Macaca mulatta: one gene and its partners. The protein of the gene in region 1 purifies or fractionates together with the protein of each later gene. This does not show direct contact. Links are inferred from orthologs where the notes say so. Each region holds a gene or a part of one and is shown in the gene's direction. Other genes may lie near its edges.

Region 1 (3,851 bases):
AAAAAAGACATATATATATTATTGCGTATCATAGGGTATACCGAATACTTTTCCCTGTGTGGAGCCCAGTTTTCTGTTACCCAAATTTTCCATTGGTTAACTTTTAAGTAGAAACTGGTAGTTTTTGGTTAACCTTGATTTACAAAATCATGAGTGTGTTTGCCAGTAGGAATTGGATTGTCTTATTTAAACAAGGTGTTGACTTTGTCCTCCCCAACCCCCCAGATTCCCTTGTTTCAGGCCCATCCGCAGTTGAAGCAGTGTGTGCGTCAGGCAATTGAACGGGCTGTCCAGGAGCTGGTCCATCCTGTGGTTGATCGATCAATTAAGATTGCCATGACTACTTGTGAGCAAATAGTCAGGAAGGATTTTGCTCTGGATTCGGAGGAATCTCGAATGCGAATAGCAGCTCATCACATGATGCGTAACTTGACAGCTGGAATGGCAATGATTACATGCAGGGAACCTTTGCTCATGAGCATATCTACCAACCTAAAAAACAGTTTTGCCTCAGCCCTTCGTGTAAGTTGGCTATTTCGTTGATATAGGTACAAAACATATTACTACTTGTCTGTAATAAGTTTTTTCTTTGCCTGTATATGGCACTGGGCATTACCACTTATTGTTAATAATCACTATATTTGTTTGATAACTTCCATCATTTTGGATTGTAATTCTGTGAGGCAAAGCATCATGGCTGTGCTTTTTTTTTTCTTTTTTTGCTGTTGTATCCTCAACACAATGTTTGACAGATAGTAGATACCCATATATTTATTGGTTTAAATAAATTAAGATTTAAAAAGGAAATGTGAAATCTAACAATACTCATTTCTGTTAATCAGGAAGGATGAAAGCTGTTTGAGAAGGCTGATACAAAATGACTTAAAGTGATGTTGCATGTGCACACACTTTTCAGATAATTCACTTACTAGTTTTGAGTCTCAGATATCATGGTTATTCAGGTATCATGATTAGTAATTTGTTTACTGCTTACTGATTTTTTTTGGGGTTTTTGCCTTTTTTTTTTAATGTTTGTTTCATGAGACAGGGTCTCACTCTGTAGCTTAGGCTAGAATGCAGTGGTGCAGTCTTGGCTCACTGCATCCTCCACCTCTGAGGTTCAACTGATTCTCATGCTTCAGCCTCCCAAGTAACTGGGATTACAGACATGTGCTACCACGCCCAGCTAATTTATGTATTTTTTTAGTAGAGAAGTGCTTTCACCATGTTGGCTAGGCTGGTCTCGAACTCCTGGCCTCAAGTGGTCTACCTGCCTCGGCCTCCCAAAGTACTGGGATTACAGGTGTGAGCCACCATGTCTGGCCTGCTTTACTGATTTTAAGACATGTTCACCATAAACTGATAAGGTGTCTAGGATATTTTTGTCTTAAAAGTGAGAAAGCTGTTAAGACTATTTCAAGATCACAGCTGATTGATTCATAAGTAGAGTCAGAACTTAAAATGCATTTGCCAAATGCACTGCATTTTCTACTATCCTGTCTGTCCACATTAACTTTCAAGTCTTTTTTTTTCTATTCCCCCCACTCCCCCACCTCCATTAATAGACTGCTTCCCCACAACAAAGGGAAATGATGGATCAGGCAGCTGCTCAGTTAGCTCAGGACAATTGTGAGTTGGCTTGCTGTTTTATTCAGAAGACTGCAGTAGAAAAAGCAGGCCCTGAGATGGACAAGAGATTAGCAACTGTAAGTGTTTAGAATTTGCCTTTTAAGATTTTATTTCTTAATTTAGGGAAGTGCCTTATAACAAGAACCTCAGTGACTTTTTTTGTTTGCAGGAATTTGAGCTGAGAAAACATGCTAGGCAAGAAGGACGCAGATACTGTGATCCTGTTGTTTTAACATATCAAGCCGAACGGATGCCAGAGCAAATCAGGCTGAAAGTGAGAATTGGGGCCGTGTCTCTCCCCATTCTGTCTTTGTTTTATTTTTAATGTTCTTGTTGATTGAACTCCTTACTGGGACTAGGACAGCAGGGTTAAATGTTGTTTATGAGAAAACATCTTAACTTGTTAGCATTTCACTTAATGGCTGCCTGTGGAGCAGGTATGGAAATAGCTCTAAATTCCCTTGCTCCTCCAAAGTTGTTGAAATGCTACTACTGTAAGGAGTTCATGTGCCTTAACTAGTTTTCATGTTTCCCACCTTGGGCTTCTCACATTAATGGTTGCTTATTGTTCCCAGTGAGACAGTGATAAATCTGATAATACTTACCAACTCCAAGGGAGAATTGCACTGGCATCGTCCCATGTGAGGCACTTTCCAAGAGAAACTTTCAGTTAATTTATAAATGAGGTGACTCTTAGCAGGATTCAGGGAAATGAGAAGCCCTCTTCTGAACTGCATTTGTTAGTGTGCATGTATGCTTAATCATACTGTCACATGTTGTAATGACTCTTGTGTCCCTGAGCTTACTCACATGCAGACTTTCCACTTTCAGAACAGTTTATTTTGATTATTGAGTGAATTCTGTCAAAATAGATTTTCTTCTTTCAAGGTTGGTGGTGTGGATCCAAAGCAGTTGGCTGTTTACGAAGAGTTTGCACGCAATGTTCCTGGCTTCTTGCCTACAAATGACTTAAGTCAGCCCACAGGATTTTTAGCCCAGCCCATGAAGGTAAATGTGTTTTAGATTAAATTGAGTGTTTTGCCAATTAATTTAAATGTTTTTGACATTTAATATATGTTTTTGACTTGCTTCCTGGGAGAATAATTTACAGGGGAACCTATAGTTTTTGAGTTGTAGGTATTCTTTGTGTCCAATTAAGTATGACATACAGGGGATTAAAGAAAAAATTGACGTGGGTGTGGGTGATTTATCTTTAAGGTTTGGCCTAATTAGAGGAATTTGCATGGTAACATAATAACTTTTGGGTTTTTATATTTAAATTTTATTATTTATTTTTTTGAGACAAGGTCTTTCTCTGTCACCCAGGCTGGAGTGCAGTGGCGCAATCTCAGCTCATTGCAACCTCCACCTCCCAGGCTCAAGCGATCCTCCCACCTCAGCCTCTTGAGGAGCTAGGACTACAGGCGTGCACCACCTTGCTGAGCTAATTTTTGTATTTTTTATAAAGATGGGGTTTTGCCATGTTACACAGGCTAGACTCAAATTCCTGACCTCAAGTGATTGCCCATCTCAGCCTCGTAAAGTGCTAAGATTACAGGCCTGAGCCATTATGCCCAGACTTCCCATTTTTTAAATAAAAGAATTTTCTAAAATTTTCAAAGGTGTTTACAGAAAACTTGGAAATATAGGGAAAAACATTTTCCAGCTGAACCAGTTGAGAGTAAGTTGCTGACCTGATAGCCCTATCACTCCTGAATCCTTTGGTTTGTATTTCTTATAAAAAAACCTTTTTCCTATGTGACCACAGCACAACCATTAAGGTCAGAAATGAATACTAATACCTTACTCCATGTAATTCATAGACCTCATTCAAGTTTCACCAAGTATCCCAATAATGTTTAGTAAAAGACCTGTTTTAGAATCACACATTTCTTCAGTTGTCATATTTTTAAAGTCTCCCTCAGTTCTAGCTGGTATAGGTAACTCAGTTTTTCCTTATCTTTCATGACCATAACACTTCTGAAGATTATAGGCTAATTATTTTCTTTTTTTCTTTTCTTTTTTTTTTTTTGAGACGGAGTCTTGCTCTGTCGCCCAGGCTGGGGTGCAGTGGCCGTATCTCAGCTCACTGCAAGCTCCGCCTCCCAGGTTTACGCCATTCTCCTACCTCAGCCTCCCGAGTAGCTGGGACTACAGGCGCCCGCCAACCCGCCCGGCTAGTTTTTTTTGCTTTTTTTGCTTTTTTTTTTTTTTTTGAGACG
Region 2 (4,486 bases), on another chromosome or scaffold:
TCGCTGAAACTATGTGGCACAGCTAAAGCAGTTATTAGAAGAAAAATAACAGAACTAAATAACTCTATCAGTAAAAAAAGCAAAGTTAAATGGATTACACCCATAAGTCAGAAAGCTTAAAAAAATCAAAATGTAAGACAAGAGGAAATCAGAAAGAAGATAAATGCAGAATTAATGTTTCATCATTTTAGGACTTGTTTTTACAAACTGCAGCTTAAGGCTCACCATTTGAGAACTAGGAGACCATTTCCTAATATGTAACAATAGCGACAACACAGCTAGGTAGCTGTCAGGGGCTGGGAGCCTTTTCTACACAAACTTTGCTCTGAATTTCAAAATACTAGCCTGCCTTGACACTTAGTGGAAATTCAGGGAGGGTGGCCTTAACTCAGGTTCTTCAGGGAAGTGTCCCGTTTCAGGGACACCGTGGGGTGGGGTTAGGGGACGGCTGTATTCCGCACATCTAGTTCTGGCTGGGCTTATGGCAAGTCTCAGTCCTCTGGAGTCACCTGAGTGACTGAGGGATGAGAGGCATTTCTGATCCCGTAATATACTTACATGGTTTTGCCATCTACCGGACTCCAGTTCAAATCTCAGCTGGCACAGTTACCTTTCACGTGGCCTTGAGCAAATCTCTCTGAGCTGAACTTTCCTCACCATAAATCTGGTAAAAATCTTTACCTTAAGGAAGTGTGGATCAAATGAGATACCAGGTGGAGCTAGTGCTCATAGAGTGGAAGCTAAGGTGATGAAACCCTTGATTCTCAAGTTCTGTGATTCCATGATGGAGATCCATGAGGGCTACCAGATGGGGAGTATCAACTAAAAGAAAGCAATCACGGAGTTCTTCCTGCCTTCTCTGGAGGATGTATTCCTATGAGCTGCCCTGAATGTTAAAAATAATACACCTGCCCCCAAAGTGCCTAGGACGCCTTTGTTGTCCACCTGCTCATCGTCCATCGGTTTCTGCAAGTGGACCAGTTACCTGCTCAGGAGCAAACGTTTCTATCACGATGCACCCTCTCCCAGGGATGGGCTCAGCCTGTGCTCTCCCTGCGACAATGTTGAACAGTGCCATCTGTCCCTACCCAGCGTCAGTCTCACTCAGAGGGCACAGGCTTGGAGTGTGGGAGGCACGCTCCCAGCTCACTTTGCTTTTCCCGCCCTGGAGGGGAATCCAGGATGTCTAACTAGTCTTCTGGCCCCGAGAGGGAGAGGTAGGGATAGGACCTTCCTTTAGTCCCCTCCCTAGTGGAACGAACGATTCTTTACGGTCATCTGTGGGGTTCTTTTCGTAAAGAAGCATCTGCAGGGTAAGAAGGAAAAAAATCCACCGTGCAAATACATCCCAGGCACATGCCTCCTGAGAAGTGGCCCCCTCCTCCCTCCGCCGTCCCCGGCACCTCCTCGGGCTTCGCCAGCTTCCTGCTCCTGGGAGCAGGCAGAGATCCCGGCGTGGGCAGACCCCTGCCACTGGCGTCCAGGCCCCGTCCGAAACTCACGCCCACGTCGGAGGAGACTCTCGGGATAACCAAGGTGCTCCCAAGACCCGGAGGGCAAGAAGAAAGAGCCCTGGCAAACAAAGGGCATGGGCCGGGAGCGCCGCAGCCCGGGGCGGGGGCACGGCGACCGCTAGGCCAGGGGGCGCCCGCCCCCAGCGCCCCACGCCCGGTGCCAGCGAGCCGAGGCGTGCATCTCCTTATATGGTCAAATGACACGGAGGGGGTTCTCGAGGGCGGGAGCCGCGCAGCGCTCCACTCGGCCGGCAGCGGAGCAGCAGCCACCAGCCGCCCGCGCCCGCCCGCGCCGTCCGGGAGTCCCCGGGCCGCTGCGGCGCCGTGAGTACCTCCAGCTCCCTGCGCCCCGGAGGGAGGCCGAGGGGCTTAGCCACCAGGACTCGGAAGAGGGGGCCGAATCCGGTGCGAGACCCGGGGAGAGGGGAGCAGATCCGGAGTTGGGGAGACCGGTGAGTGGAGAGGAGAGCTGTGGGTCGGAGAAGAACCCTGGGAGAGGGGAGCCGAACCGTGCGGAGAGAAGCCGGGAGAAAGGAAATGAGCTGTAGGGTAGACCCGGGAGAGGGGAGCAGATCCCTGGGGGCTGGGAGTGGGGAGACCACGGGAAGAGGGGAGCGGAGCAATGAGAGGGGGCTAGACCCTGGGGGCGCTGGAGCTCAGAGGAGCCCACGGACCCATCCCCAGAGGGGGGATTACAGCCCAAGTCCTCACCAGGTGGGGCACCGCCATGCGGGCAGGGGCTTGGCTAGCCTGGGTAAAGGCTGGCCGCGGGTCCCAGCCGGCGGCTGCGGGGAGGTGACGCTGTCCCCTTGCTTCAAGGCCCGACTCCGGAGCCGGTTGTCCTGGCACGGTGGTCTGCGCGGGGGTGTCCGGGCTATTTCCCTTCAGTAGAAATAAGTGGAGCTTGCAGTGTGACCTCACTCCTTGACTCGTGTAGACATTTAATAACTGAACCATTCGGTTAAAAAAAAAAGGCGTATTTTAAATGAAAAAGATTCTAAGTTTTTCTTAAGTTGCACTCGTGTGATATCTTAGCATACTAGAAATTGAGGGAAGAAAATACTGTTTTTCAGATTTTAAATGAATCAATCATATTTACTTTCATATCCCCAGTCAGGTTTTAATTGGAAGTAGGCTAACCCCGTTAGCTGAAATGTGTAGCTGGCCTCCAAGCAGCAGTGAACTTAGACAGCACTGAACTTAAGGCCCGCACTCCCTTCCACATATTTTGGAAGGTAATAAATCACAATTTGGGCTTAGAATCAGGAGAACTGTCTTCAAAACACAACTCCAAATACATCTCACATTTTTGGTGCTGACTCTACTAACGAATGTTTTATAATAATATATTAAAGAAAAGAGGTTTTGCACTATCCTGAAGATGTTTTAGACCAAAAAAAAAAAAAAAAAAATTTGCAGCAAGTCTTAGAAGTACAGGAATTCCTAGTCTATCAATTTAATTTTAATAAAATCAAACTCAAAGAACATTTCATTGTGCATTTATATAAAATTTTTTCAAGTGTTACTGGATTTAGATCACCCTCCAATTTAGAAGATCATCAATTGATACATAGAATTGTGTTTTCATGGTGTTTATTAGCCTGCCATGGTTTAAAATGCGTTTACACCATCATATGTCGATGAAGGCTAATGATGGGCTTACTAAAGACCAGAAACTGTTCTGGGCACATAGATTCTGTCTCATTTTAGCTCACGGTCTCACAAATAACCACAGGCAGATGCGGTAGGCTAGAGGATGCGGGGGACTGCATCTAGGCTGCCTGAATTTACATCCGGGTCCCTCAACCTGTGCAGCCTGGGCCAAATCACTTCATGTCGTGGTGTCTCGGTTTCCTTCACTGGGAAACAGTGACAATGATGTTGTCTCTTTGGCAGGGTTGTTAAAAAGTCTGGACATCATAGACAGTGTGTACCTATTTGACAGCCTCATTTTTACAGGTAAAGACACTGAAAACAGAGATCAAAGTAACTTTAACTCAGGGTTTCCCAGGCTGTAAATGGTAGCCCTGAGATCTGACCCCAGGCAGCTTAACTTGAGAACCTGAGTTCTAACCCTAAACACACCACGGGAGGAACATTTGAATATTTATTTATTTTTTAACATTTGAATATTTCTATGAGGCCTTATGCTGCATTCTTTGACCCAAGATTGCGTGTTAAGCCACTTCCAGTACTGAAAGATATTTAAATTGCAGTCAAAAACACCCAGTAGAATATTGCACACACACACACACAAATCAGACTAGATATCAGTTTACTCCCGTCCTGTGCTGAGGGCCAGTTATTCAGCCTCTGTGACTCAGGCAGCTTCCTTTGTCAGCACCGGGGCCTGAGTTGGTAAAGTTGGTAAGCGGCTCTCTGACTCAGATGCCCCGAGGTAAAAAGTTCCTTGAGCCTGGGTGAATGGAAATGTCAGACGTTGGGTTCTTCTGTGCGGTTTTATTATGAGAATTTGATCAAAGCCACATTTATTAAGTGTCCATCTCAGGTTGCGTCATACTGAAGTCGCTTCCTCAAGATGACCATCTGAAACAAAATGCATGTGCTTTCTCTAGGGGCTGAGAACTGTGTCTTCCTGGAGACTAGGCTGGCATTTTGACTTTGGGGTGAGTCAAATGAATTTCCTCTGTCATCCTAAATTGTGGATTTCAGTTTTAGCTCCCGTGATGATTACTTTCATGTGTCAACTTGACTGGGCCATGTGGTGCCCAAACATTCGGTCATATGTTCTGGGTGTGTCTGCGAGGGTGTTTTTGGATAGGATTGCATATGAATGGGTAGACCGAGTCAAGCTGGCTGCTCTCCATAATGTGAGTGGGCCTCCTCCAAACAGTTGAAGGCCTGAATAGAACAAAAAGACTGAGTAAGAGGGAAGCCCCCCTGCCGGACTGCTTCAGCTGGGACATTGGTCCTTTCCACCTTTGGACTCACACTGAAACATCAGCTCTTCT
Region 3 (3,000 bases), on another chromosome or scaffold:
GGCAAGTACAGTATCTTAAGATGATACTATATTTGAAATTCCAAGCTAAAACCCTGAAACAAGAAGCTGGTAATATTTTGGGAAGCATTTTTTATTTTTGACTGGTCTTTCTGTGTGTAGGCCTCTGAATTCCCAGAGATATCCTTTGGTTGCAACTGACTTACTATTTAGTAGCATTATTTGATTTTTAAGTCATTTGATTTTTTTATCTGAGGAGATAACTTTATTATAAAAAAATTTTACTTGAAAAAATGTATCTTGGTAAGCAAATGTAAGGCTGTCACTTTTGCTTATTTGCATTAAATAAGCATGCTACACAGTTTTTCCATTTCAAAACATGGGTTATTTGATTATGCCAGAGTAGCTACAATCAGGAACTCACAAACGTTTGTACTTAATGTACTGAAAGGTCTTTCCTCACTTTTTAAAAGTTCTCTTACAGAACTGCAACTCTGTGAAGTACTATATTTATAAGCCAAAATTTTTAACAAAGAAGAAAAATTCCCATCATTCATTTAACCAAATACAGTAGTAAATTTTGTCTTTAAAATGGGAAGGCTTGTTATCATAGTTGCTTTTGTATTTGTTATACCTGTGGTTTTTGCTGTTTTTTTAGAAGTTGAAGGGAGTGTGCTCTCTCTGGGGGTTCAGTTAATTGCAGTTGAGTAGATCAATATTCAGCAATCATGTCTTTTAAAGCCCTTTCTGATCTTGAGATTTTATGATTCTATATTTACCTTTGCCTCTGCTTTTTCCTTCAGTGATAAGAGTGCAGGGATAATGTAGGGGTTGAGATGGGGAGTGAATTGGGCTAGTGGTTTAGGAGGTGATGGGCATTAAGTAGGAGTTGAAAACATGTTGTGGTTGATTCTAAGAGGGGCAATTGCTATTGGTGTCTGCTTTTTTGGTAGTTTTTTTTTTTTAATACTAAATACATGTTCTTAATTGTAATTATTTTTTAAATTAGGGGAAAAAAGGAAGAAAAAGATAAACCCAAAGATAAAAATAATTTTTGAAAGTCACCTTCTCATAGCTTCCTCCAAACAGACAATCCCTTAATTCTTAGAAATGGGCCAATATATAAATCATCAAAAAGATGATTGAGAATAGGTTTTGGAAAAGAACTCTGGAGGAGATAAGGTATTTTTCATGGGATTAGAACGTAAGGCTTATGTTATTTACTGGCTCATAAGAAGTTTCCTGAAAGATAGAATTTTTTTTGGTGATAAGATTGCATTTAAGGTAGATATTTTGTGTCCCATGGAGCTAGACAGTCTTTTTTATCTCTGGGTTCCCAGCCCCAAATATACCACCTAACCTATACTAGGTACTCAAAAATTGTTTCTTGAGCTTAACCCAGTACTCATTCTTGATGGAAATAAAAGCAAGATAATCCCGAGTAAAAGGAGTAGATGTTTTTATGAATAAAGGAATTCTTTTTCAGTCACTGTCCAAAATGTTCTCTTTCAGAAAGTGTACAATTTTTTTTTTTTTTTTTTTGCCTAGTATATTGGAATCACAAGCACTGACTTCGTATTTCAAAGTTGAAAGAAATGAGATTGATGTCCCACACAGTTGTAAAATGCCAAAAATAAGTAGTGCTGCCATGAATTAAAGGCCAGTGCTCTGAAAAGCTTCAGATCAAGGGTGGCTGTAATTGAAAGGGCCCAAATAAGTATTTAAAACCACCTCTCCTGGGAATGCTAAGATTTCTGAATATCAAATTGGCATTTTATGTTTGACAAGGTGACATTGTATAAGAAATGTGTTGTAAAACACAGCTGTATGATAGGAAAATGATTGAATGTAAATATTTCAAGATGCAGACCACTGTTCAAATGTTATCATAAATCTTTGCCATTGTTTTAGGGGATAACTCTTCATGCATATATGAGCTGAATTGATAGAGCCAGCTCTTCGAGAGGAAATCATCAGCACGTTTCTGCCTCTCTGCTACCACTAGTCTGATTCAACCACAAAAATATCTTATTAGGTTTTGCTATTATTATCATATGTTTATTATTATGTAAGTGGGGAAACCTTTTTTTGCAAATATACATCTGGCATTTGCCCTACTCATTGAGTGATCTGAAATGTCACTGTTAGATGAAATTAGAATAGCCTGGGACAGTTTGCACTCTCAAATCTTGAAAAGAAAAAAGCTTGAGTTATAAGATTAACTATCTTTCCATTCTTTGTAGGTTTGGAAGGTTTGCAGTTGCTGCTCTTCAGTCCAAAGTAGAACAGTATGAGCGTGAAACCAATCGCCTCAAGAAAGCCCTGGAACGAAGTGATAAGTATATAGAGGAACTAGAATCTCAAGTTGCACAGCTAAAAAATTCAAGTGAAGAGAAGGAAGCTATGAATTCCATTTGCCGGAGAGCACCTTCTGCAGATGGCAAAGGGAGCAAAGGCAGTGAGGAGGATGTGGCATCAAAGAATCAAGGTGATAGTGCCAGAAAGCAGCCTGGCTCATCCACCACCAGTTCTTCTCACCTAGCAAAGCCTTCCAGCAGCAGACTGTGTGACACCAGTTCTGCAAGGCAGGAAAGTACCAGCAAAGCAGAAATTAACTGTTCTAAGAACAAAGACCTATATCAAAAACAGGTAGAAATAATGTTAGATGTGACAGATACAAGTATGGATACTTATTTGGAAAGAGAATGGGGAAATAAACCAAGTGACTGTGTGCCCTACAAAGATGAAGAACTTTATGATCTTCCAGCTCCTTGTACTCCTTTGTCCCTTAGTTGCCTTCAGCTCAGTACTCCAGAAAATAGAGAGAGCTCTGTGGTCCAAGCAGGAGGTTCCAAAAAGCACTCAAACCATCTCAGAAAATTGGTGTTTGATGATTTTTGTGATTCTTCAAATGTTTCTAATAAAGATTCATCAGAAGATGATATAAGTAGAAGTGAAAATGAAAAGAAATCAGAATGTTTTTCTTCCCCAAAGACAGGATTTTGGGAATGTTGTTCCACAAGCTATGCCCAAAACTTAGAT
Region 4 (4,439 bases), on another chromosome or scaffold:
TAAATAAATAAATGACAAGTCAATCAGTAACACTGTGCATAGAAACCGCCGTTAAGCACTTCATTCACCTGTTACAGAGATGCCAACTTAGCTCTTCAGTTTAGCTTATTTTAGTGTGCTAGTTATATTTGAACTTGATACCTTACCCTCCAAAAAAGCCAAAATATTTCCGAACTTTACCTCACAGTCTTTCATGTTATCTCTGAACAGGAAAGGGGACATTCGCTACCTTCTGCTACAGAAAAATCAACCACTGTACTGAATCATATAACAGAAATACTTCTATCTTGTTCTGAGGTTGCTGCTCAGAGCTTGAGTGAAATATAATCACATGCTAAGGGGATCTGGGCCCTAAACACTTTATCCCGTCTACAACTAAAGAATAGTACAGTATATGAGAATCCATCAGGATCATCACTTCTTACATGTGTTAGTATTTTCAGCACAGACTACATAGCAAGTGTTCTACAGATGTCGAAAGAACTAGCAAACCGACAGTTGTTTGTGGCGCTCTCTCACTTCCTGTACTACATTACTCAAGATAAGCCTAAAAGAACAGACAAAAATATCACGACAACTATTTCTTAACAGAACTATTTTAAAACAAGAGAATCGTCAATTAAAATCATGCCATTTTCTTTCTCTGAAATCTTTAAATTACAGATGTGCTCATCTTTGTTGCCTGGATATGAGTTCTCTCAGCTGGGCGGCGAGACACTCAAAGCAGTGACTTTATGGGATCCTACCAGAGGCGGGGGAGCCAATATAAATTACGTATCCTAATCTGAGAATGCACCCTTCTGTCCTAATACCTGAAGCTTATAGCTTGTCAGGTGGCTTTTCCACGGAAAAACGAGGACATAAGAGAAAGGACGGACCTTAAGAGTTCTAGGGAGGAGCCGGTAGAGGCAGCAGGCTTGACAATCAACTGCAAGGTTGCAGTCCAAAAGAAAAAGAACCCACTTGATCGCTCATCATCGACTCCTCAGAGGCCCTCTAGGACTACCGAGAATCTCTTGCCCTTTGGCTCTTGCCCCCGACATCTCTCCTGGCCCCCCGCCCTGCCCCAGGAGGTCTGGTCCTCTCACCCGCTGCCAAATTCTCACACAGCCTCAAAGGGATCCTCAGAGCGTAAAGCAGCCCCAGCCCCGCCACTAACCACACCGAGACCCCAGTCCCCGCCAGCCCGGCTCGCAGTCGCTCCCTCCAGCCCAACGTCGGGTTTAGGCCGGGGACAGGTGCAGGAGACGCTCTAGCAGCCGCGGCTTCACCCGAGCCGCCACCGTCCGCCATCTTGCCGCTATCGCAGGAGCCAGGAGCTGGGAGGGGAGAAGGACAGGAAACCGGGAGTCGGGAATCCTGGGATAGTGGCGGACCTGAAGTTGGCCTCTCTGAAGGCTGAGTCCTGGGGAACCGGGACCGAGAAGATTTCGAAGGTGGAGGAGCGTGTCTCAAGATTGAGGATACCTATTCCTTTGTGGGGCAGGGAAGGGGCGGACAGCAGCGCCTGTTCTGGAGGAACTGGACTAAGATGTGACCCCAAAGTGAAGTATTACCGCTTCCAAACGAAATGAGGGTCACCTTTCACACCCCCGCCCCCCGGGGTTGGAAAAGCCACCGATCGTTCCAGCGGCCGAGCAGCTCTTAGAGCTTTGGATTCGGCTGTCGTGGAGATAACGGGTACCAGAAAAACTGCAAGAGCGACTTGGTCGGATGGAGGCCAGGAGCCAAGAATAATCGAAACACGCTGCCAGCACCCATTAGATGGATGGGAAATGAGTGTAACTCATTGGGAAAGATATTAGACTTTAAATCACCGAAGGCAAAGCCTACTTCCTGGGGCGCGGGCGCGGGCGCTGGCACTAGTAGACGTCACTCCCGCGCATAACTGACATGGCGCCCTCTTGGTCGGCGTTTCCGGGCGGGTCCTTCCGACGGCCCCCGCGGTGATTCCATCACTCGGCTTTCTTCCCGGCCTGCCTAGCGCCCACACCCGGGCTGGGCCAGAACAGCCCAAGATGGCCGACTTCGATGATCGTGTGTCGGATGAGGAGAAGGTAAGGGGTCCGCCTCTCTCTCTTACCTCCTCCCCCGACAGGGAACTGGGGCTCGGCCCGGCTGCGTTGGGAGCCTCGCAGTGTCCCCAGGAAAAAGAAGCTTCTTTGTCAATGCTGACATACGCTCTCCGCAGTCGGGACGCTTCCCTCTTACGGGGCTTTCCTCTGCCTCACGGTGGCCCCAGTTCCTCGTTCCTCGACTCTCCTTTTCTCTCAGGCCTGAGGCACAGCCCAGGGGCCTCCCTGCGAGGGAACAGACGTTTCCTTTATTAGATCGTGACTGTGGACTTTTTTCCTGTAATTTTGAGAGTGGGTGGTGGTTATGTTGCTACATATCAAAAAGCAGTTATTTTACCGCCTTTAGCAGTTGGTGCTAACCCCCATCCCCCCATTTGTAGATATAATTGGGGTTAGTTTAGGGCGAGTCACTTCCTGGTCAGGATGGCCTCTTCCTTTTTGCTCCTCCTTCCTCAGGAAGTGATTTTGCTGTCACGACTCCTCGACAAGGAGAGGTCCCAAATGTTGTCCACCTCACTACACATGCAGTACTTTTCTCAAGTACTGTCGCCTGTCTGATTCGCTATAATAAATCTGTGAGCCTCAGGGCATGTGCTTCACAATTTGAGCACTAGACTTTCCCTGTAGACACACCCTTTTAACGATAATTTTTGAAAATTTTGTTTCTTGTTAACAAATGTAGAATAGCTGATGGATTTTCTTAACCTCAAGAAAGATTTTCTGTAACAGATAATAAACTGCATGTTAACACGTTCAAGACTTGACAAAGCGTCCTGCCTTCTCTGGTGCTCCACTGTGGAGTCTTTGATTAGCTGAATTTGTCAGTGTGCAGTTTGTATACTTATTTCTTGAAAAGCGTTTTAAATACAAGAGCACATTCTAAGGTGGAATAACTTTTCTTCTGACATTTGCACAGTTTCATAACAGTTTTGTCAGGCTTTTCAGTAAGTACATGATTTTAGGGCACGTGGAACTTAGAATGACCTCACGAGACAACTTACTTACAAGAATTATGACATTTGTCTCCTGCTGTGGCTATTGGAAAATGTGTCCCCTTGAGTGCTCTGTAAATCTACCAGGGTGTTTTTTTAAATAAGAAGTTGGGATGGGGAGGGGACTGTTATGATCCATAAGTCCTCTGCACCGAATAACTTGATACATCATACCTACATATGGCATGCCATTTTGAAATGCTTAACAAGCCATTGAACAACAGCATTAGATTTTCTCTTATTTGGAAACTGATCTTCATACATAAGATTTAGGACAAAAACAAAGACATATATGAGCTTATGCTGGAAATCAATCTATAATAAATTGTTCTAAGGCAAATAGTTACTATTCAAATAAAATTAAGCAAAAATCCTGTTATAATACAAATCCTGTTACAACTAAACAAATTTTTTTTTTTTTTTTTTTGAAACGGAGTCTCGCTGGGCTCACTGCAACTTCCGCCTCCCGAGTTCAAATGATTCTCCTGCCTCAGCTTCCCAAGTAGCTGGGATTACAGGCACCCGCCAACACGTCAAGCTAATTTTTGTATTTCTTGTAGAGACTGAATTTCGTCTTGTTGCCCAGGCAGGTCTCAAACTCTTGGGCTCAAGTCCATCCGCCTCCGCCACTTAAGTGCTGGGTTTACAGGCGTAAGCCACCGCGCCCGGTCAAAATTCCACAAATAATTTAAATAATAAACTTTTAAGTTTATTGTGCCTACGTGATACACATTGACCAGTGTTGTTGGATTTTTGTCTTCGATACCAGGTTAGAATGCCTTTAATTAAACTTGGGAAAGTATATTTTTTAAAATGCCAATTAAGATGTCTTTAAATACTGGCAGTGTTTTAATAACATTAACGTGTTGGGTTTTTTTTGTTTTGTTTTGTTTTGAGTTGGAGTTTCGCTCTGTCACCCCGGGTGATGTGCAGTGGTGCGATCGCTGCAACCTCTGCCTCTCTGGTTCCAGCGATTCTCCTGCCTCAGCCTCTCGAGTAGCTAGGATTACAGGCGCCTGTCACCACGCCTGGCTAATTTTTTTGTATTGTTAGTAGAGACAGGGTTTCACTATGTTGGCCAGGCTGGTCTCCAACTCCTGACCTCGTGATCTGCCCGCCTTGGCTTCCCAAAGTGCTGGGATAACAGGCGTGAGCCACTGCGCCCGGCCAGTCTTGGTTTTTTTAATAGCAGATCTGTGACCAGTTTCGTCTTCTAGCATAGTTTTTTTGTTGCCAAATATATTTCAATATTGCTTTTTATCTTGGTTACATTTTCTAAAGGCAGTAAACCTTTAGAAAATTTGGTGATAATGAATGGACTCTAATTTCCTTATAAATATGTATGTAAAAGCTAGTAAAATCATCTATTCTC
Region 5 (4,503 bases), on another chromosome or scaffold:
GGCGGCTCCAACCAGATTTTGCGTCCATAAAGCCGAAAGCTTCTAGGCCTGACATGTACAGCGGGTTTGTGCCCGAGGAGCACAGCTGGTCTACACGGGCCCGCACCGTAGACACTCTACTCCTCGGTGAGCTGCGGTTTAACTTCCTTATAGCAGGTTGAGAGTGCAGGCCCCGTTTGGAGGGGAAGGCGGCGCCCCAACGGGTGTTTTCCCAGGAAGTGCTCCAAGAATGGAGAGGAAAGGGGAAAGGGGAAAGGGGAAGGCCAGGCGATGGGCGTTTCATTCATTGCTTCTTTCTCCCCATCCCCTCCTTCGTTCCCCGCCAACTTTCCCCTTTTCCCAGTCGGAGTTTGACGTCGGTCTCCTGGATACCAGGCAGCCAATCGCTTGGTTGCGAAGGGACCAGCGCGGCCAATCAGGCGTCGTTGCTACCTGTGAGTAGTATTTTTAGCTGAGAGGGACGCTCGATTCCACTCTCGATGTAATTTCGTGTATTTCTCTGGGGCAGGTTGTGAAAAAGGCACTTACCCGCCCCCCGCCACGAGTCCCTCTCTTACCCCACTCCCTAGGTACCCGCACATATTTCAGCAGAGAATGATTTTAAACGCACTCTACAGGCAGGCACCGCGTTTATTCTGTGCACCTGCGTTCCAGCAAGCCCTAGAAATGCACACATGCGTGTGTGTGTAGACATGGACACAGATACATACGCAATTTGGCCTCGTGTCGCCACACCCTGGGCACGGCGTGGGCTGGGACATTTGGAATAAACGGATCCGAGTCGCAGCCAGGGTCTCACCGGGAGGCCTGAGGCTGCGGAAGCAGTTAAACTGCCGGCGGGGCGGGAGCTGTGGCGGCCTCCCTTCCCCACCCCCAGCCCGGCTCCACGGCTTTGGGTTCTGCAGCTGCCACTGTCTGGGTGGCGGTTGGCCTAGGCCTTAGGGTGATTAATATTCAATTAATCGGGTGCACGAATCCCGGTCACAGTTTGCCCTTTCTCTACCCCGCCCTGGGGTGGGCTGGAGGCTGATTTAGTAGCTATTCCACGAGCGGGATCCTCCTTGGCTGCAGCCCCACGCGGAAAGGGCATTTTCTGGGTACCCTTGCCGCCCTCCCGGAGTCCTGGGCTCCTCCAGCCCCGGTTCTCCTTGGCCGCTTCGCCACCGGCTTCGCCCTCCTCCCCCTCTGCCCGGCGCTCTCCGCCTAAACCGGGCGTCAGCCGCCCTACCCCACCCCTTTCTCTCTTTGGCACGTCTCCCCCCACAGTCCCTTTCCAAACGTTCTCTTCATTCCGTCCCCAGTGCTCCGATTGTCGGTTCATTGGCCCTCCTGGAGCCCGGAGGGTGCGGCTTCCCCACCCCTGCGTCCACCGCGCGTCCGGACAGGGGCAGGCGGGACTTGGCCAATGGCGTCGGGGGGCAGGGCAGGGGCGGAGCCGGCCGGCGGGGGACCGGGGTGCGGGGCGGGGAGCGCGGGGAATGGCTGCGCCGCGGGAGCTGTGTGACGCTTGGCGGGCGCGCGCACCTCGACGGAGGGGGATGGGGGCGGGGAGGAGGCCATAAAACGAGAGGCGGGGCGCGCGCCGCGGCAGAAGGAGCGAAGCTCTGGCCCGGCGTGGAGCGGGCGCACTACGGGGACGCTGGGCCGGGCACCGGGCTGTGTGGAGAAGTGAGCGCGCTCGTCTGACCCCCGTGCCCGCCACCCCGAGCCACCATCGGCGAGTTCCCAAGGCCCGCCCGAGGCCTCCGTCCTCTGCCCTCAGCCCCGCAGCGGCGACGTCTTGCACTCGGCGAGCTCGCCGCTCCCGACCCTCCCGCGCCCCCGCCCTGTCGCGCTGCTCCCCGCCCAGCCGCGGGTCTGTGGTCCAAGCCGCCCCGAAGCAGCCCGTAAGTATCTCGGGGCGCCGGGCGGGGTTGGCAAGGAGACAGGAGCCCCGGGCCCAGGCGGCGGAGGAGGGGCTGCAGCGGCGTCGAGCTCCGGGCCCTCGGGAGCTCGGGGACGGCGGGGTCGCGGCCCTGGGCGCCGAGGGGGCAGCGCCGGGACCCGAGGGGAGCGGCTCCGAGGGGCCACCGACGCGTCGGACTCGGCTCGGGCAGTTGACCGGGGACGGGCGGCCCGGGGCGTGCTGACGGGAATCGGGGGGTTGGGGCGCCCAGGGGAGCGACGAGCTCGCGGTGGAACGCTGGGGTTCGAGGGGCCGGTGGCCGCGAGGCTGAAAATGGTGCCGGGGAACCGGTGCTCCCCCAGGCTCTGACCGGGTCCCAGGAGCCCGGGGCGGGTGCCGGGGGGCGGGGAGCGGCGGGTCGGGTTACGGCGGGGGAGGGGAGCGGCTGACCCGGCGCCCCGACCTGCTCGGTGCTGGGTGCCCAGCCGGGAGAGGTTGCTCTTCCATTTCCCGGGCCTTCCTCCTCCTCCTCCTCCTCCTCCTAGGAGGCTCGTACTCTCTTCCTCCTCCACCTCCACCTCCTCTTGCTGTTGCTGCTGCTGTAGCGCTTGGGCTCCGAGGGCTGTGAGCAGAAATCTAATGAGATCTAACTGGCTGTTTATGTAATTCTTCACACTCCTGCCTGTCTTAAGGCGTTGCTTTGTAACTACCTTCCACCGAGCCTGAATTTTGCTTGGCTGCACCTTCAAGCAATTGGGCTTAATCAGCTGCCTCTGCCGGCACTCAGGCTTTTGACTTGGAAAGTGTTTTTAGTTTGGGGGCAGCCAGGGATTCTTTTTCCCTTTGTTACCACGAATATGGAAAATAGAACAGACGAATTAAAACCAACTTGATTTTTAAACGTCCTTTTAAATCAACTTCAGTGTGCAAATAGATCCCTTTCGCAAATATCTTCTGTTTGCCCTTGATCTTTTCTTATCCCCACCCAGTGCTGATCCAGCAAACGTTTAAAGGTCGACCTTACCATACTTGCTTCTCCGGCTGTTACCGTGGGAGGGAGGGAGGGAGGGAGGACGGACGGAGGTTTTTAAAAATCAGACTAAAACTCAGAAACCCTGGCCTTTAAACAGAATAATCAATAGTTTTAATTTGTGTCGTTGCTTTTGTTATACTTGCTACCTAATAGGAATTTTCAGATTTAGAAAAATACACATTGAAAACAAAAGACCCAGAGAAGCTGGATTTTGTTATATTGTGCTCTTTATATACTTAAGGCCGAAACTATATAGAATAATTTGGTTCATAATTATTCACTAGGATGAAATTCATTTAGTACTCAGTGTCTTTAATTTTAGCATCATGTACTATGGAAATTAAAATGATTTTCCTAACTTACCAGATTTTTAAATGTCAATGACAGAGCAGATTTAAATAGTATATGTCCAAAGTAAACTAAAACGTGGATTCACTTCTAAGTTGGTGAATAACAATAAAAATTACTACCTAAAAGTGGCATCTATATATATGGGGATGGGGGGAGGATGCTGAGTACAATAAATATTCTTGTGAGAATTGAGGGGAGAAGAATACATGTTCTAGTGATATTTCTTCTTAGAACTCTATTCAGAAACAGGCTTTTAAAAACATTATTTCATCTGTAAATCTACATTTTCCTGTGTGATTTTAAACTTTAATCAACAATTTTCTATTTTATATTTTGTACTATTTACAGTTTTCAGGCTTTCTGTCCTAGTAGACATTTTCTTCTTCTCTTTATCCTTAGCAAACTAACACTGGATATTAGACATTTTTTAAGGTGAAATTACTTTGTGGGGGGAAAGGTCGTGGGACTTATATTACCTTTATCTTATTTGGATATGTTTGCTTTTGTTTTGTTTTAAGGAACAAGATCACTCAAGGTGAAGGATAATCTACTAATACCAGCACTTTGAATGAAAATTTGTTTCTCTGCCACAAACTGAACATTTTTTTTTTTTTTTTGGTGGGGGAGTTGAAACCTAATTTTGTGGCGTAGCAGCTATGCAGCTTGAAATCCAAGTAGCACTAAATTTTATTATTTCATATTTGTACAATAAGCTTCCCAGGAGACGTGTCAACATTTTTGGTGAAGAACTTGAAAGACTTCTTAAGAAGAAATATGAAGGGCACTGGTATCCTGAAAAGCCATACAAAGGATCGGGGTTTAGATGTATACACATAGGGGAGAAAGTGGACCCAGTGATTGAACAAGCATCCAAAGAGAGTGGTTTGGACATTGATGATGTTCGTGGCAATCTGCCACAGGATCTTAGTGTTTGGATCGACCCATTTGAGGTTTCTTACCAAATTGGTGAAAAGGGACCAGTGAAGGTGCTTTACGTGGATGATAATAATGAAAATGGATGTGAGTTGGATAAGGAGATCAAAAACAGCTTTAACCCAGAGGCCCAGGTTTTCATGCCCATAAGTGACCCAGCCTCATCAGTGTCCAGCTCTCCATCGCCTCCTTTTGGTCACTCTGCTGCTGTAAGCCCTACCTTCATGCCCCGGTCCACTCAGCCTTTAACCTTTACCACTGCCACTTTTGCTGCCACCAAGTTCGGCTCTACCAAAATGAA
Region 6 (4,610 bases), on another chromosome or scaffold:
TAGCTAGATATACAGCACCATAGTAACTAATTTGGGTGACATTTGGGGTAAGACGTTCCGTCTCTTAACATTTTAATTGAAACTAAACTCTTGCATGCCAAAATGTGGTTTATGTTAGCCATTTATAAGTGTTTCTAAGATACATCTTTTTTTACCCCCCAGAGAATCTTACCCTGTTGCCCAGGCTGGAGTGCAGTGGCACGATCTCAGCTCAGTGCAACCTCCACCCAGGTTCAAGTGATTATTATACCTCAGCCTCCCAAGTAGCTGAGATTACAGGCGCCTGCCACCACACCTGGCTAATTTTTGTATTTTTAGTAGAGACGGAGTTTCACCATGTTGGCCAGGCTGGTCTCGAACTCCTGGCCTCATGCGATCCACCCATCTTAGTCTCCCAAAGTGCTGGGATTACAGGCGTGAGCCATCGCCCCTGGTCAGACTATCATCACTTTTTTTTTTTTTTTTTTTTTTTTTTTTTTTGAGACGGAGTCTCGCTCTGTCGCCCAGGCTGGGGTGCAGTGGCCGGGTCTCAGCTCACTGCAAGCTCCGCCTCCCGGGTTCACGCCATTCTCCTGCCTCAGCCTCCCGAGTAGCTGGGACTACAGGCGCCGCCACCTCGCCCGGCTAGTTTTTTGTATTTTTAGTAGAGACGGGGTTTCACCGTGTTAGCCAGGATGGTCTCGATCTCCTGACCTTGTGATCCGCCCGTCTCGGCCTCCCAAAGTGCTGGGATTACAGGCTTGAGCCACTGCGCCCGGCCTATCATCACTTTTAACATTAGCGATTGTTTAGGGCTGTCACTTTCTTGTGTTCAGCTGTCCTTCTTCTAAAAAGAGATGTCTCACTCTGTTGCCTAGGCTGAAGTACAGTAATGTGATTATAACACACTGCAGCCTCGAACTCCTGGGCTCAGGCAACCCTCTTGCCTCAGCTTCCCCACTAACTAGGACTACAGGTGTGCGCCACCATACCCAAATCATTTTTTGGGGTAATTTTTTGTAAAGACGGGGTCTTGCTATATTGCCCAGCCTGATCTTGAACCCCTGGCCTCAAGCAGTCCTCCTGCCTTAGCCTCCCAAAGTGCTGGGATTATAGACGGGAGCTACCGCATCTGACTCAGCTGCCTTTTAAACTACTTGTTGCATTTCTGCTTTCTCAACTCCCAGCTTTCTGTTTCTAAGCTGCTGGAAAAGTAGTCATTTAGATTAGATTGTCAGAGTGTAAATAAGAGTTTAGACAGTATCTCAGGAGCTCTTGCACCTTAGAGCACAGAAAGTAAACCCCTGTTGATCCTCAAGTGCCCCTTCCTTTCAGATTCTTCAGGAGACATTGAAGAGAAGGCATGGGTATAACCAGAGGGTGGGAAAGCTTAGGGTTTTCTTTCTCTTTCTGTTGCTGATACAGAGGCAGGAAGAAGATACTTGACTGTCCTTCAGGACATTTGGCCAAGAGCATGTCGAGGAGAGGAGCAGAACCATCAGATGGGAACAGTTTATTAGATGCCATGGCGGGGTGCTGCTGAGAGAAAAGGGGGTCAGGTAGAGACAGTCCTGCTCTCGTGGAACTGAGGTGTGATGAGAGACAAGTCTCAACCACACAGATGAATAGATAATTACACCTTGAGATGGCCATTAGCAAGGGAAGTGAATCAGTGGTGGGAGGTAGGGTGGCTAAGTAGGTAGGAGCAGGATTCAGGAAGGTCTTTGGAAAGCAGTTGAACTTGACATTGAAAGATTAAGAAGGAATTGACCTCATAACAAGTAGAAGAAAGTGTTCCAGGCAGAATGGTGGCGGGGGAGAGAGAGAGAGAGTGTGTGTGTGTCTGTCCTGGGGCAGGAAAGAGCTGGGTGGAGCACATGTCCGGGGTGTGTGTGTGTCCTGGGGCAGGAAAGAACTTGGTACCTATAGGTTCCCCTCCCATCCTCACCCCTTTCTAACTCCAAAGGCTAGTGCGGCAGCAGGGAAAGTGGCACAAATTAGTCTAGGAAAGAGAAGCAGAGGCTGCATCCTGAAGGGTCTTTTAGGTCTTATTAAAGTTCCAGATAAGAAGAATGCTTCATTCTGCTCGATTTGACATTTTGCAAGGGGACCATTTGGTATATGTAGTACACACCTCATCCTATAAGCTAGTAAGTTTCACTTGTTTTGTTCTGTTCACCAAACATGACAGTAAAGACGTGTCTTGAAAGCACTCAGGATTTTAGGGTTGTCTTATGTGGTGCTTATCTTTTTTTCTGTTGTTTTTCAGGGTATAATCGACTACATTTTCTATTCTAAACCTCAGCTGAACACCTTAGGCATCCTGGGCCCTCTGGACCACCACTGGCTGGTTGAGAATAACATCAGTGGCTGCCCGCACCCCCTCATTCCCTCTGACCACTTCTCACTTTTTGCACAACTGGAGCTCTTACTGCCTTTCCTGCCCCAAGTCAACGGCATCCACCTTCCTGGCAGGAGGTAGTCAAGCACCTTCAGAGGACAGCCTTGATTCACTTGTAAACTTGTGAAAATCTGAACATAGGGGAGTGAGGTATGGCCACTGAGGATTTTTGTTTGCTTAAGAATGATTTGGATTTGCAATCTGATTATTTGATAAGGATATAGTATGAAAGCCAGGTGCTAACAACAGACAAATTCTGAGCCCAATATGCTTTATACTGCTAGACAGGGATTGGTGTGTTTGCACCTATCTTTAATTTGTTATAAGAAATTTTCCTATTTCTTCTATCCAATATAATATTTTCATGCCTTGAAATAGGAAAATGTTTGAACAGCATATTCTCTTTGCACAGAAATCTGTAGCACTACTTTTTTGAGGCCAGTAGTAACATCCAGAGACCATTCTTCCATACTTTACTCCCTCCTTTTTCAGACTTGTTTGTAAAATATAGAATCTGAATTTAGCCTTTATGATTGTATATGATCCACAGAAGACCTGATTTATGAAATTTTGTACTAAAAAAAAAATCATTTGGAAATGATTGTATTGTAAACTAAGGCTAAATTTTTTTTAAAGAAAAAGAACCTGTTTCATGTGTTACAAAGGCCAGCTTGTAAAAGAAGCTGCAACAGACTTTCTCTGCTCGTGGTTTGCACTCTTAGGGTTTTGTTAGCCCTTTTGTACTACTTTATTTTTAAATTGAGAACATGGTTCTTTACATACAAATCTGCTTAAACCTTAGGATGTTTTCAGACCAGAGGCAACTTATTCATGAATTTTTATGAAAACTATCTACCAGGACAGATAAGCTGAACAGTGATGATCTATAGACATTTATGGACTGAATGTAATGGTTGATATATGTACATTCTGATATTTTTAAATCTAACTTTTTTAAGTTAAAAAACTACAGCTGCTTAGGTACAGCTTCTTAACTCTTTTTTGAGACACTTCCTGTCCAATCTCCACTGTGCCTGCCTAAATTTGTTCTCACCAAGCACTGCCTGTGCATGCAGAGAAAATCTGTGCATCCTCTTTTATATTTTTAAAATACTGTTTAACATTTGTGAGAATTTTATGAAAATGCTTTTGTATGAGCTGTGGCTTTTTCCCATTGTGAAGCATTGAATATCACATTTTGGAACATGTTATAGGGTGAGTCCCTGGATCTTTGCTCACCAGATCCAAGCACTGCTTCTCGGTGTCATTGCAGTGTGCTGCTTGTCACCCGGAATACTACTATCATGTGAATTCTTTTTGTTGTCCGTGTATTCCTTAGTCTTTTTGTTATTTTTTTTTAATCCTTTTTTAAGAAGAAGTAATTTTGCATTTATAAAGCAGTATGAATTAGATGTATTTTCAAAACAGGTCCCTAAGACAATTCTTCAGATCATTTTTTAAATGACTAAGTCATTTTAGTGTGTCAACCAAGATAAAAGTTACATCACACGCTCTATTTTGCCCGTAGTGCCATTAGTAGAATAGAGATGAAAACCAGCTTTAACTTTGCAAAGTGAACGTGTACATGGTCTGTTCTCATTTATTAATTCTTCTCTCAAAAGTCAAATGAATTCCGAAGGAGTTTGGTCAAACTGCTTTTGTTTCAACTGCAGGCAGGGGAGCAAAAGGACGCCATGTGAGCATTAGGAAAAAAAAATATTGACTGTTACTAACAATTTTTATATAGAGAATGAGTTGTTTGGGAAATGATTGATTTTTTTTTTTTCCTTTTAGAAAATTCTCCAAAAGGTTTTGATGTTGAATCTTTGTCTTGGACCTGTTTTTTTCCTTTGAGGGTTTTTTGTTTTTTGTTTTTTCTAGGATTTCATTGTGATGTTTTGGTTTTGTTTTTTGCTTTTTGTTTAAGTTGTGCTGACACCAAACACATCCAGTTTATAATCAGAACATTGGAAAGCTCGTATTGATGTAGAACCAGTGCATAACTTTGTATGGGGTTTTGTTATTGGTTTTTTGTAGAGTGTGAATAAAAGGTATGTTTACTCATTTTTCCTGAAACTGTGTTGGTGATGTGCATCATGACAATTTCCAGTGAAGGTGAGCTGGAGCTGGTTGGACTAATGAGGCTGAGGAAGCAGCTTTTCCTACGATCTGCATTATGTAATCACAGGTCCAGAGAGCTTTACGGAAGCGGGAGAGGAGGAGCACTTAC
Region 7 (4,327 bases), on another chromosome or scaffold:
GTTTCTCCTCATGAAATGTAGTCCCTGGATTCTGTGCCATCTGAACATGCTCTCCTGCTGGTGTGTATGTCACTAGGGCCGTGGGGAGACTTCTTAACTCTGTTGCTTCCCAAGGATGGCTGTTTATAATTTGGGGAGAGAGAGGGTGGGAGGCAGGGCAATGCAGGATCAAAATCCTCATCTTACTTTCCCGACCTTAATTAAGGATGTAGCTGCTGCTGGTCCTGTTCAAGTTGCTGGAGCAGGGGTCATGTGAGGCCAGGCCTGTAGCTCCTACCTGGGGCCTATTTCTACTTTTATTTTGTATTTCTGGTCTGTGAAAATGATTTAATAAAGGGAACTGACTTTGGAAACCATGTCTTTATGCTTTCTTTGTAGCCCTGGTTTGTTGCTCCTACTTTTACTGGTGGTGGTTACTGCCCTGGTCAGACTAGGCAGAGCCTGGCCAGCCGGGAAGCAAGTCTCGAGGCACATCCTGTTCTGTTCCCGGCTGGAGAAGCATTGGTTTTCACCCGCCTCTGCCCGGTTGGGCCACCTGAGAATCTAGAAATGAGAGCTGATGTGATTAGGAAGTCTCTCCCGGTTACACTCCATTAGCCAACCAAGCTAGGGGGAGGCAGCTCTTGGCCCCATCCTTACCTATGAGTCAAGGGTCTTCCAAGGCTTTAGATAATGAAATCAGGATTGACTGTCCTTCCCGCAGCCGGGGGAGTGGAAACGTGAGCCTGGAGAGTCGGGGAGGATGAGCGTGTGTGTAGGGTGGTGGTGGTTGCAGCCTGGTGGGGGGGTGCAAGAAAAGTACGGAGTATATGTGCAGCTTTTGTTCTTACGGGAAGAAGGGGGGATACAAACTTCAGTGTAGGGAGGAACCCACGTCTGAGACGGGGCCTGAAAGGAGATAAAGGTCACTACTGAGGAAAGCAGAGCTGCCAGACTTCCTCACCGTGGCTCTAAATCTGAATTGACACAGGAGGGGTGGCCACGTTGCGCGCGTTCTCAGCACTCAGGTGGCTGTACCAGGAAGCCGCTCCAGTCCGCCGGCTGCTACCTTCTTGCCGGCGTAGCTCGATGGTACTGCACTCCGTGCAGGCGGCGGGGCCCGGGAGGGGCCGCCAAGGCAGTCTCTCTAGGCAGTCGTCTCGGTGTCCATTTTACCCGAGCGCCCCCGGCTGAATTGCGTCAGTTTCGCCCCGGTCTGAGCCTGGGGCGGGCCCCTCATCTGCAAGCCTCATGAATAATTGAGTACTGGGCCGCGCCTGTTTGCCGACGGTGGGACGAATTCTGCACGGGCTTCCAACTCCCGGGTTCCACCGGCTCATGCATATTCATGAGCGCCCTGGGGGCGTGGGCCTGGGCGGAGCTAGGGGCGGGGCCCCGCCGGGGCTCACAGTGGCTTCGTCCCGCGGTGACGGCGGCGGCGGCGGCGGTAGCAGCGGCGGCGGCGGCGGGGACTGGCGTCGGGGCGCCGAGCCGAGCGGAGCCGGATCCCGGGCGAGCGCGTGAGTGCGCGGGGGCGGGCGGGCGAAGGAGGGGGCGGGGTCCGGGATGGGGCGGGGGAGGGGCATGGAAGGAGTGGGCGCTTTCCAGCCGAGACCTCGGGTTGAGGTGGTGGCGGTGAGGGGGTCACCAGGAAAGTTTGCAGGGGCCGGGGGCGCTGGGGACGCTGGAGGCCCGGGGGAAGCTGGCGCGTGTGCGCGGGGGCGGAGGGCGCATGGTCTGGAGCTCGTGCTGGCGGAGCCAGAAGAAAGGGGGGAGGGGGCGAGGGCTTGGGGCGGGGCCGGGGGCGGGCAGAGCCGCTGGAGGGACCCCTGCCTCCCCTTCCCCTGGGCCGCGCTAGCCCCCTCCCCCGGCTCCTTCGGCACGCCCCCAGCCACCCCAGTCCGCCCCCACCTGATCGACGTCTGCAGCCCACCGTCTGTTCGCCGGCTGCTTCACAGCCCGCTCACAGGTCCTCCGCTTCTGCCGCCACCGCCGTCCCCTCCTCCTCCTCCATCCTCTTCTCCTCCTCCTCTTCGGCTGCCGCTGTCCCTTCTGTGTCCAGAGCTCCCCACTGGGCCCCTCCAGACAGCCCATTGCCCGGGGCTGTTCCATCTTCCCGTTGGCCCTCCCTCTTTCCACCAGTTTGCGTGCTGTCCCTGCCGACCTCTCTAGCCTTCGATCCGGCTGGAGATCTTGCGGTCCATAGGGGCGACCCCGCCTGCGCCGAGTCCCCTCCGGGGCTGGAGCTGCCCAGCCCTTCTGGAGGCCTTATCTGCCAGGGGTCAGTTCGTCTCTACCCCGCTACCCTCTACCTCCTGGTCTTTTGGGGGTGGGGAGTGCTCGGATCCGCTGCGATTTTGCAGCTTCTGGCCACAGCCTTGGTGGCCTTGCTCACCTGGGGCTCCTGGCTGGGGTCTCTGAGTTGCTGTGGCCACCTCCGCACCTGGGGACTCTGAGCCCGCCTTCATTGCTGCAGCCCCTCATACCGCAGAGGGGCCCATCAGAACCTCAGGTGAAAGGATTTTTTTGATTCTGAGCCAATTCATTTCCATGTCCAACCACCCACACTATGTCCCTAGTAATAATGTTCAAGGACAAGGAAACAATCTTGTGTTTTAATTTTATTTTTTCTATCATGTGCCCCTCCCCCCACCACACTTGGCCTGGCTCTGCATAGTTATTCACACACCCACAGTGGGCAGTCTTCCGTGGTGGTTGACTGACCAGTGGGTTGACAGTACTGGGTTTCTCTGCTGTCTTCATACCCTTTCCCATCTTTGAAATCCCTGGGGCAGGGTTAGCGTTAGGGGAGAGGAGTTGGATTTTGCAGAGGTTGAGCACTGGAATTTGGTGCTGTCTTCCCAGACCAGCTGGAGTGGGTGGTTTTAAGTGAGGCAATGCCCCTTGCAGGTTGGAGAGGGTTGGGTTGTCCTCAGGGCTCTGCACACCGGGTGAGGGAAACTTCCCCCTTGCATGAGAGGTGCAGGGCCCTATTCCCCAGGGTCTCCATGTTTTTGTGGGTGGGAGAGTGCTTCAGGAGCCAGGATGGGAACTGAGGAGGTGGTGGAGTATCTGAAGAACAGGTGACAGGACTAGGGCCTGGGAGAGTGAAGGAATGGTCTGGGAATGCTGGTAGCCTGGGGTCACGGAAGAGGAGGAGGTGCTTATCAGGATATTAGCTCATTGGTGACACTGAATGGAATCACAGTAATCATAGGCAACATTTATTGAATCCTTATTATGTACTAGTCATTGTGCTAAGCAGTTTTCATGTACTATATCACGTAAGCCCCCTCAGGGTCTCAATAATCCCATTTTTCAGTTGGAGACACTGAGGCTTAGAGAAGTCACACGGCTAGAAAGTGGTAGACCCATCCAGCCTTGAATCTTGGTATATCAGACCCTGAAGCTCCTGTGGCAGGCTTCTACCACAGGGCTGTGCCACTTGGTTTAATTTCTTCTGTTCCCCTCAGAACTCCTTAAAGCCAACCCAAGGCTGGTGAGTGAAGCCCACATAGCCCCTTTTCATAGGCTGTGGCTGTTCCGCCCTGACTCTCTTGGAAGGTGGAGCCCCAGGGAATTTTCCCCCAAGTCACTCCACCCCCCGGATATTCTCAAGCCCTGTCCCGTTCTCCCAGCCCAGGCCTGGGCCGGCTCCTCCTTCCTCTTGGCTAGGCTCTGGAAATCCAGTGGGAGGCCATTGCTATGGCAACAGGACTAGGCCCTGGCTTTACCTCATCAAATTCCAAGCTGAAGCCAAGCGATTGAGAAATTAAAGAAAAAAATATATTCCAGATGTTTACTTTTTATTCCTTATTTTTCCGTGTTTGGATGAGACAGCTCTGAGGGAGGGGAGAGTGGGGCAGGGATGTGGAGGGAGAACAGGGAGAGGGGGGAGAAGGAACCACTCCCAGCTTTGGGAGGGAGGGAGAGAGGGAAGGAGGGTGAGCGGGAAGGGGGAGGCAGGCAATGAGGCGGAGCCCAGGTTGGGGAGGAGCGGGTTTTTCCCGTCTCCCGTGAGGTGATTCACAGAGTCTTCATACTTTGCAACTCTCTGGCTCTGCTTTGAGTAGACACCTCCAGCGGGGCCGTCCTACTCAGGGGGCACTCTGGGGACTGTAAGTGGGGTGTCTTGGAGAGTTTGTCAGAGGAGGGAGCAGTGAGTGACTCCCTGAAGCGCTAGGACTTTGGGGTTAGAAGATAAGAATGGGGAGGATCTGGGAAGAGTTGAGGATATGGCTGCTGGGAACCTCCCTTGACCTCCTCCACCCTCCCCACCCCCCCACCCCCTGCCCCAAGTTCTCTCTTCCTGTCCCACACTCTGCCTCTGCTAGAAATAGGAGACTTC

The links.
Region 2: the proteins of CNOT1 (region 1) and FHL2 purify together in Homo sapiens (affinity purification with mass spectrometry; 3 studies listed by BioGRID and IntAct, with this or other methods). This does not show direct contact. The link is inferred for Macaca mulatta from reciprocal best matches to the Homo sapiens genes CNOT1 and FHL2.
Region 3: the proteins of CNOT1 (region 1) and OBI1 purify together in Homo sapiens (affinity purification with mass spectrometry; 3 studies listed by BioGRID and IntAct, with this or other methods). This does not show direct contact. The link is inferred for Macaca mulatta from reciprocal best matches to the Homo sapiens genes CNOT1 and OBI1.
Region 4: the proteins of CNOT1 (region 1) and CAPZA1 purify together in Homo sapiens (affinity purification with mass spectrometry; 3 studies listed by BioGRID and IntAct, with this or other methods). This does not show direct contact. The link is inferred for Macaca mulatta from reciprocal best matches to the Homo sapiens genes CNOT1 and CAPZA1.
Region 5: the proteins of CNOT1 (region 1) and TOB1 purify together in Homo sapiens (co-immunoprecipitation; 3 studies listed by BioGRID and IntAct, counting the BioPlex papers as one, with this or other methods). This does not show direct contact. The link is inferred for Macaca mulatta from reciprocal best matches to the Homo sapiens genes CNOT1 and TOB1.
Region 6: the proteins of CNOT1 (region 1) and CNOT6 purify together in Homo sapiens (affinity purification with mass spectrometry; 5 studies listed by BioGRID and IntAct, with this or other methods). This does not show direct contact. The link is inferred for Macaca mulatta from reciprocal best matches to the Homo sapiens genes CNOT1 and CNOT6.
Region 7: the proteins of CNOT1 (region 1) and TNKS1BP1 purify together in Homo sapiens (affinity purification with mass spectrometry; 5 studies listed by BioGRID and IntAct, with this or other methods). This does not show direct contact. The link is inferred for Macaca mulatta from reciprocal best matches to the Homo sapiens genes CNOT1 and TNKS1BP1.

What each region holds. Positions count from the first base shown.
Region 1 is NC_133425.1:54,153,825-54,157,675, reverse strand, and holds part of CNOT1 (CCR4-NOT transcription complex subunit 1), read left to right. Parts: intron 1-225; coding exon 226-522; intron 523-1,565; coding exon 1,566-1,706; intron 1,707-1,798; coding exon 1,799-1,903; intron 1,904-2,517; coding exon 2,518-2,637; intron 2,638-3,851.
Region 2 is NC_133418.1:13,500,492-13,504,977, reverse strand, and holds the start of FHL2 (four and a half LIM domains protein 2), read left to right. Parts: upstream 1-1,414; 5' UTR 1,415-1,711; coding exon 1,712-1,966; intron 1,967-4,090; coding exon 4,091-4,141; intron 4,142-4,486. UniProt on the Homo sapiens protein: May function as a molecular transmitter linking various signaling pathways to transcriptional regulation. Negatively regulates the transcriptional repressor E4F1 and may function in cell growth.
Region 3 is NC_133422.1:73,436,852-73,439,851, reverse strand, and holds part of OBI1 (ORC ubiquitin ligase 1), read left to right. Parts: intron 1-2,201; coding exon 2,202-3,000. UniProt on the Homo sapiens protein: E3 ubiquitin ligase essential for DNA replication origin activation during S phase.
Region 4 is NC_133406.1:127,634,895-127,639,333, reverse strand, and holds the start of CAPZA1 (F-actin-capping protein subunit alpha-1), read left to right. Parts: upstream 1-1,623; 5' UTR 1,624-1,833; coding exon of another isoform or gene 1,834-1,834; 5' UTR 1,835-2,018; coding exon 2,019-2,057; intron 2,058-2,083; exon of another isoform or gene 2,084-2,448; intron 2,449-4,439. Other genes in the region: ST7L (suppressor of tumorigenicity 7 protein-like), read right to left, coding at 1,089-1,293. UniProt on the Homo sapiens protein: F-actin-capping proteins bind in a Ca(2+)-independent manner to the fast growing ends of actin filaments (barbed end) thereby blocking the exchange of subunits at these ends.
Region 5 is NC_133421.1:59,144,354-59,148,856, forward strand, and holds the start of TOB1 (protein Tob1), read left to right. Parts: upstream 1-1,589; 5' UTR 1,590-1,886; intron 1,887-3,787; 5' UTR 3,788-3,925; coding exon 3,926-4,503. UniProt on the Homo sapiens protein: Anti-proliferative protein; the function is mediated by association with deadenylase subunits of the CCR4-NOT complex. Mediates CPEB3-accelerated mRNA deadenylation by binding to CPEB3 and recruiting CNOT7 which leads to target mRNA deadenylation and decay.
Region 6 is NC_133411.1:189,590,934-189,595,543, forward strand, and holds the end of CNOT6 (CCR4-NOT transcription complex subunit 6), read left to right. Parts: intron 1-2,248; coding exon 2,249-2,461; 3' UTR 2,462-3,978; downstream 3,979-4,610. UniProt on the Homo sapiens protein: Poly(A) nuclease with 3'-5' RNase activity.
Region 7 is NC_133419.1:16,081,316-16,085,642, forward strand, and holds the start of TNKS1BP1 (182 kDa tankyrase-1-binding protein), read left to right. Parts: upstream 1-1,386; 5' UTR 1,387-1,499; intron 1,500-3,922; exon of another isoform or gene 3,923-4,097; intron 4,098-4,327.